Neodiprion lecontei: one gene and its partner. The protein of the gene in region 2 interacts with the protein of the main gene of each other region in a pairwise test. Links are inferred from orthologs where the notes say so. Each region holds a gene or a part of one and is shown on either strand. Other genes may lie near its edges.

Region 1 (3,756 bases), about 2.2 Mb from region 2:
TAAGAAAAAAGTCTTGGTGAAACACAGCTGAAGAAATTAGAGTCTCGTTTAAAAGCACACTAAATGTGTATATATTGACAGTAAAAAATCTGTAATCTCTCTAAACATATATTGCGCAATGATTAATTGCATAAATCGTTCATAGAATTGAACTAACGCAATTTAAGCAAAACACTGTCTACTTCATCGACAACGTTAACAGCAAAAAGCATCATGCATACATTGCTAAAAAAAAGGCTCGTTTAAGGCGTGGAATTGATTTTAGAAATATACTTTGTATTAATGAAATGTTTAAACTCCCCAGCTTTTTATCCCCTTTTATCGAACCTGACGTCAAACTTTGGTAAACGCTATCAGACTGCACATTTTTCACTCGACTGTTGAGAAATTTCACCTGAACCAGGGACGTTTTTTAGACCCAATTAATCGTTTCTTCATTTCAGATATCAACGCGCGACGGCAAAACGCCTTGCCGACAATTAAAACGTTCCGCTTAAGTCGGCGTTGTGTGAGTCTGCTGCTGCTGCTGCGGCGGAGAAGTGGTCGGAACACTGGGTCTGTAAAATCTATTTACCAGCTGCTTCAGACTTAGGATACTTCCGAGACCCGTTCCCGGTTCCATGTTTATGAAAGTGTCCAGATTATCCTTGCAGGCTGAGAAACGAAGTTGAGTGAGTATGTAAAGTTCAAAATCTGTCGATTCCAAGGCCACAAATTCTGATCAGTCTGAAAACTTACTTGGAGTAGAGATCGGAGGATATTCAGGAGGGGTTTTGATCCATGTGCCGTCTTCTCGTTTCATGTGCTGCCTGTTGGAGGCGAAATGCTGCAGGTACGTCGCAGCAGGGACTAGTCTGAATCTCCTGTGGTACTCGGAGCGCAAAGCTTCGTCGGACCTGAACGTTTCCGTTGCGTATTTCCAGAAATGAGTCGGAAATGGAAGAGCGCTGTCTAGATCGTAGACCACCGCTCTGTCGTCAGGTGCGTAGATTAATATTGCGTGATAGTCCTGTAGAGTGAAAAGAAATAAAGTGGTGTAAAACGATGTCTTGCTATGAGTGGTTGAAAAATTCCAGTATGGGCAGGAACCAGTCGATCGGTTTTCACAGTCTAGAGACCTGACACAAGATTTGAAAATTTAGCCAACCATCCATCAAGACGACAATACTGACCCAAAGGACAAGCTGATCCTCATCCTTGCCAGCCTTCTGACGCCAGAGAGGAACGCTTCTTCCAGGATTGCTGATGAAAGCGACGTAGCAGTGTTGCAATTCAGGGCCGTGCCTAGTGGCGACGTCCTGGCATAGCTTCCATACGTTTTCTTCGCTGAAATATGGAAAAGAGTTCATCTCGGTGTAAATAAAAGTGAGATGGGAAATAGAAGGCGAGAGAGAGAGAGAGAGATAGAAGTTGAAACACGAGCGGACCTCGACGAGGTGCCCGAAGTGTTTTGATTGAATAATTTATACAGTTTAGAAGTGATTAAAGCGAAAAAGCGTGAGCGTAATAACGGTGTACACAACAAAGGTCGCTACGTTGGATAAACTCGGCGCGATTCGAGGGATGATTTAGATATAAAAAGTGGGATAAAAACTGCAAAAACATGCAAAGTATGTACATCGCGTGCGCGGCTGGTGTCGTGTCCGTGCCTGTTATCGCGGGGTGAATTATTAACGCCGATAAACCCGCGTAACTCTCCCGCATTAATACAAATCGGGTCGTTGTTGGGTTCGCGGGCTAATAACAATAACACGTCGCTTGAAACAGGCCGGGCGTCCAATGACGGGCTCGGAATTTTGGCGCGAGATAAAGAAGCGAACGCGATTGGTCGGTGGCAAGTCTCTTTAAAAATGGCGTCGTATCCTGGCAGGGCACGACCGCAAGAATCCCACAATCCGCGATATCGATCCCCGATACCTGTGCCGCAGTACGACACTGGTCAGTGAAAAGAAAATGAACGATAAAATGAGCAAGGAGGGTATCGAATTCGGCGGAAACTCACCAGTAGCAACTCGTGTGGACGCAGTCCGAGGCTTTGGTGAATAGCGGGACAAGAGGCTTCGTGTTTCCAGCACCACGCGATTCCGCAGCCATCCTCGAGTCTGTTTACACTCGATCAGCCGATATTGGTTCTACCTTCGATTTAATGTTCAATTGTTATTCGCGCTTGTCTGCTATTCTGGTGATATTTCACCGCGTTATCGCCGCGTGATACTCTCACACTTCATGACACTTTTCATTCACCCCAATTTACGCAAAATTACTATCGTCACGCTTATTTTATCGGGAGTTTTCGCTCTTCGTAACGCTTTTTATTCACCGGTAATAAGCGGTTCTTGCGTCGTCTGCAAGCGAAAAACGGAGTGGCGAGAGCTCGGCAGCTATGATTTGCCTGTTGAGTGGGGATTTCGGGAAGGCTTTTTATGTATCTCTCTGCATCGGTATTCGCACATTCGCTTTACTGCGCAGGCCGCAGTTCTGATTTTTTTATTGCGACCTTCTTTTGTCATGCGGATTTCCCGCCGGTAGCGCCATCTCTCAACTCGATGCGAACAGATCCGCTTCTTTATTGGCTGATAGCCTGACCTAACCTAACCTAATCCGACTCGGCTAAACCCCAAAGAAGATTAGATAGAAGGGCCTGGGCCAGAGGGAACGCTCAAAGAGGATTAAACCCGAAACTGATACTACTACCCATGAAATTTGCAGCTCTGTACCCAACTCTTTTCGATTCGTCGTAATTGCGGGTTAAAGTATCGTCGAGCAGATATCACAGTTTGGATCATGGCTCTGAGCGCTACGAAGGCGATCCTTCGCCACGGGAAAACGGCTTTATTTGTTTGCGATATGCAGGTGAAATTCGCCAAGGCTATATTCGAGTTCGATAAGATCGTCGCTAACTCTGCGAAGCTGGTAATTCGAGATTTAATTTTTTTTTAAATCATATTGAAGCTAGTAACATCATCTTAGTTCCTTAAAAAATCATTGTAAAATTAGAAAACTAGTAATTTTTCCCCAATGCTTAGTTACAATAACGATACTAACATTAATTTCGTTTTTCTTTCTATCATCAAATCATTAGCGATCTGAAATTATCGTATCATTCTCATCTCCCAGGTGAACGGCATGCGCTTGTTGGATGTACCGATCATTGTTACCGAGCAGAATCCTAAGGCTTTAGGAAACACAGTTTCGGAACTGGATATAACAGGTGCAAAAGGACCGTTCGCAAAGACCAAGTTCAGCATGTACACTGAAGAAGTAAGGAGAATCTCGTTTATCCAGTTCTCCTAAAACTTGATATTATGATAAAGAATTCTCTTTAATCCTGTTCCCGTTCTCTTTGGAAGTTAAAATCTTAGTCAGTAAAATAGCGACGAATCACACGGTAGCATGTTGTCTGAATTCAGGTGCGCAAAGAACTTTCTACGCTCTGCTCAGGTGGTCCTCCAGAGTCGGTAGTTCTCATTGGGATCGAGGCACATGTTTGCGTCGAGCAAACTGCACTGGATCTTACCGCCAATGGGTTCCAGGTCCATGCGGTGGCCGATTGCTGCTCGTCTCGCACGCAAGAGGACAGATTGCTTGCGATCGAGGTAATGAAAGTGCTTGACGCATAGGACATAACTTATTCAAACCACACCGAAAATTTGGTGTAAATAGTGAATAATATTTGTAATTGCGAATACTCTAGTGATTTACGCTGTTTCAATTCCTTACAGAGAATGAGGCAAGTCGGGTGTCAGATAGCAACTT
Region 2 (3,756 bases):
GATAAAAAATTTATCAACAATCGAAATCTCTGTATTTCAATTTACATCTTTGGAATTTTTTCTCTGCGATTCGAATCAAATAAAGTAACGCTTCGTACAGCTCACCTGATGAGCTTCAAATCGTCAATTTCTCCGCCGTGCGGTGTGAACAGCCTTTTAGCGGATATTTCAAACTTCAAACTAGCTGCACATAGAAGCTCGTCGATAGAGTGCGTCACCATAAATACCTACAAACAATAAATCACACGAAACTATGAAATATTATCAATCGGTAAATTCAAATCAAACCAAATTAGGCGCGAAGCGAGTTGCGCCTGAACACTACGTTAGTCAAATATCAGTGATAACGCCGCTTTAAAGATGCACGTAAATCATGATACTCTCGAACAACTTCACGTTAATCATAGGTTGGATTTATACTTGATGGAAACAATAAAATGACTACTTGCATGATCAAACAGAGTACTTTACCTTGCCGTTGACATCCGTCCCGTTGATAAAAAGAACAACTCTCTTCATGGCTGACAATTTGGATTGACTGGCATGCGGTCGAGTGTACTTTCTGGTTTCTGGTTGAAACTGAATAACGAGTTAACACGGAATTATACTTGTGTGATGTTTATTCACTCGTCGGAACAGAACCCTGCATTGGCGTTCAACGTGGAGCCATATTTGACCAGCAGTCATCCCAGCCCGTAAGGTGGCAGGTGCATGACAAGCCACGCCACCTCCCAACGTTCGTTTCGACGATGAATAGAACGGATGCACGCCTCACTGCATCCGGTTTTTGTCCTCCCTGTTGATGTCAATTCAAGATTCACCACGATTGCGGAAGATGATATTTCAAAATAAAGAACGTTAAATCCATTGCAACGAAGTTTCAATTTGAATTCTATGACGTCATTTGTTCCACAGAAATAAAATGGCGGTCAAAACTGCGTGACTAGGGCGTGTAGAGTCCTTTTATTTTTCGCTTATGAAGTGCACGATGGGTGCACGACTGCATAGCAAATTCTGTACTATACGCATCTAATCTTCTGAAATTGACAGGGTATCAATTTTCAAATACAAAATAAACGAAGAGGAAATTCAAAAGTTTCGCGCCATAAATAGAGCAGAGCTTATTTGAAACTTGGGTGAATAAATCTGGCGGGGGTGGTTTTATTTATTTAATAACATAAGCTATCGCGTACGTACAAAATTCTAGCAAAATGACGTTGTTAGAGAATATCAGGAACGATGAATTTTTTTAAACTTTAGGTTTATAACAGACATTTTGTAACCGAGATCAGCGCAAGTTTAAAAAATTTCATAAAGTTGAGAAATGAGTCGAACAAATTTCCAAAATACACCTATTATATCTCAACTTATTACCCTCCAATTTTCCATCGAAATTCGTAGATAACATTTGATATTTATCGCAATTTTCCATATTCTCGTCAACCGTACCGTGAGACAGAAAATTAACTTGTATTTGTATTTCATTATATTACGAAAACACTCAGGCATACATCGACATCATTATATGATACTTCAAAACGTGCAACAACAAAAGTTAAAGGTCGTACAAGCAATTAGAAAACATTCCACGTTCAACAAAATATAATATAAAAACAAATTAGCAAAGACAACAACTCGACAAATAAGTCTCAGATAGTAATGGTGGACTACCTAGCGGATGATTTCAGAACTACTTAAAAAAAACTAATCATTGAAAGAAAAGTCATTGACTGATTCGTACTACACGTTACGTACAATAAGACACGTATTTACCGCGGTTACTCAATGAGTAGTTGGAACATACGCACAGATACGAAGCAAAAGGCGTGTGGGTGTCAAAAAGTTCAAAAAGTTACCGCCAGATCGATCTGCCTTCGCGCTACGAGCGAATTCGCCAAATGTGTGGATAATTTGACAGTGTGAAAGAGGGACGATATATCGGCGTCCGCGTTGCGTGGATTTTTTTTCCGAATTAACAAGTGGTTAAAATTTGAAAAAAAATTCATCGGTGGTTTGATTTATCGATAAATTAAATTTCGCGCCAGACGTTTTCCGTCTAAATTGTCGAGTCGAAGTCTGGCAGACGTGTTGTACACACGACAAAGATGGCGGTTGTCTGCTGACGTTTCTATCATTGGAAACGAGTGCCGATTAATCAACGACACGGCTCAAATGAGCGAGATAAAACATCTGGATATTTAATTAGCCCGCTGGAATAACGGTAACAAAGAAAATTGTACAAACGAAAAAACGTCAAGATGATGAACATGTGGAAAATGCGTGAGCTTATGGATAAAGCGTGAGTAGATTAAATTGTACCGATCGTTCGTTTTCACCGTGCGGATTCAACATAACCTGATATTCCACCTTTTCATTTTCCTTTTTTTTCTCCCCGCACCTTTTTTTACTCCAATTTTATCACACATTTTCCTCTCACTTATTCGCACCTCTCGTACTTTCGCCCAACCTGTACTTGAAACTCTATTAAAATCTGACAATTTATCACTACCGAATCAGTTTTGCTGTTGCTACTACATATTGAACGAGAAAAACAAAACACCTGCTATCCTACAATTACAATGATAACACAATATTCATGAATTGCGAAAAATCGAGGATTCTGCAAAATCGTGAATCGCAGATTCCTATCTTACTTGAATAAAATATGTGACAATTCGATCAACCATGATTACGATAATCCCCTCTAAATTTTCACTACAATTCAATTACCATCGACTCTTCTGCAGCGATGCAAACTTTTCATTTATTCAGAGTTCTACAGATGTTTAGAATTAGGACGATAGTCAAGTGACGGTTACTTAATCGTTGCACACTGTCATGCTTCCTCATCCGCGAGTCAGACTCAAGGTCACTGTGTGCATCCACCGGCGCATATTGTACCTATGCATATATACGTACGTAACTTTGTTGTACGGTTGTATATATCAGCAAGAGACAACGTGAGGCAAGGCAGCTTACGTAATGTTGAGTAAATACTGATAACTTTATTGTTATGTCGTCCGTACGAGCTTATGGATATAGATTAATTTATCAAGCATGGCCTGAAAAAACAGTAAAAAGAGACAATCTGCACTTTACCTGCGGTCATAACTAAATTAGTTTAATTCCCGATGAAAAGATATTTAATTATTGTTGTTCATCCATTTGGCATCTACTTAGTCACAAATTTTAACTACAAACCTAAACAATGCTAAAACTGTCAACTTTCTTTATTCCGTGAGGCTGGTAATGGAAAAGCTGCATCTTTAGTCATGAAAATAAGAAAAATGTTTTTGTGACTGTCACGCAACTCTGTTGCAACATATTCGATGTGACAAATGTCCGTGTCACAGATTAGAGACTAATTAACAATTATCGTTAAAATTAATTTAGTTCCACTCACCGGCATTGAAAGATAATAAATTTCGCACTGATATGATATAGATTTGCGAATGGCAATGGTACGAAAATGAAGGATAAAGTGAAAGTTGTTCCATTACGTAAATGAACTGTATTTGGTAGTATTTCATAATGTGACGATAATCACTGTAGGGATTGAAATTGTTGTATAATGAATCAACAGGTGTTCACTATCAATAAGAGATATAAAACGATTTTCAAAATTTTCAAGACTTATGGAAGCTGCTAAAATTAATTCTACTTCTTTCACACCAAAAGGAGTAACACATTTTTCATTCCTTGAATACTTTCGAACGTTGGGTAAATGTAAAACAAAATTTATTTACACTGACCAAT

The links. The genes of interacting proteins can lie anywhere in the genome.
Region 1: the proteins of BTB/POZ domain-containing protein KCTD9 (region 2) and protein N-terminal glutamine amidohydrolase interact in binary tests that used the Homo sapiens proteins (3 or more experiments, as listed by UniProt). The link is inferred for Neodiprion lecontei from reciprocal best matches to the Homo sapiens genes KCTD9 and NTAQ1.

The regions. Positions count from the first base shown.
Region 1 is NC_060262.1:1,654,891-1,658,646, reverse strand, and holds the start of protein N-terminal glutamine amidohydrolase, read right to left. Parts: upstream 2,404-3,756; 5' UTR 2,095-2,403; coding exon 2,003-2,094; intron 1,327-2,002; coding exon 1,173-1,326; intron 1,010-1,172; coding exon 739-1,009; intron 655-738; coding exon 494-654; 3' UTR 1-493. Other genes in the region: isochorismatase domain-containing protein 1, read left to right, coding at 2,785-2,913, 3,118-3,261, 3,411-3,596, 3,723-3,756. UniProt on the Homo sapiens protein: Mediates the side-chain deamidation of N-terminal glutamine residues to glutamate, an important step in N-end rule pathway of protein degradation.
Region 2 is NC_060262.1:3,817,019-3,820,774, forward strand, and holds the start of BTB/POZ domain-containing protein KCTD9, read right to left. Parts: upstream 2,724-3,756; 5' UTR 2,688-2,723; coding exon 2,655-2,687; intron 2,300-2,654; coding exon of another isoform or gene 2,259-2,299; exon of another isoform or gene 1,841-2,258; intron 797-1,840; exon of another isoform or gene 580-796; coding exon 472-579; intron 228-471; coding exon 106-227; intron 1-105. Other genes in the region: telomere length regulation protein TEL2 homolog, read left to right, coding at 2,259-2,299. UniProt on the Homo sapiens protein: Substrate-specific adapter of a BCR (BTB-CUL3-RBX1) E3 ubiquitin-protein ligase complex, which mediates the ubiquitination of target proteins, leading to their degradation by the proteasome.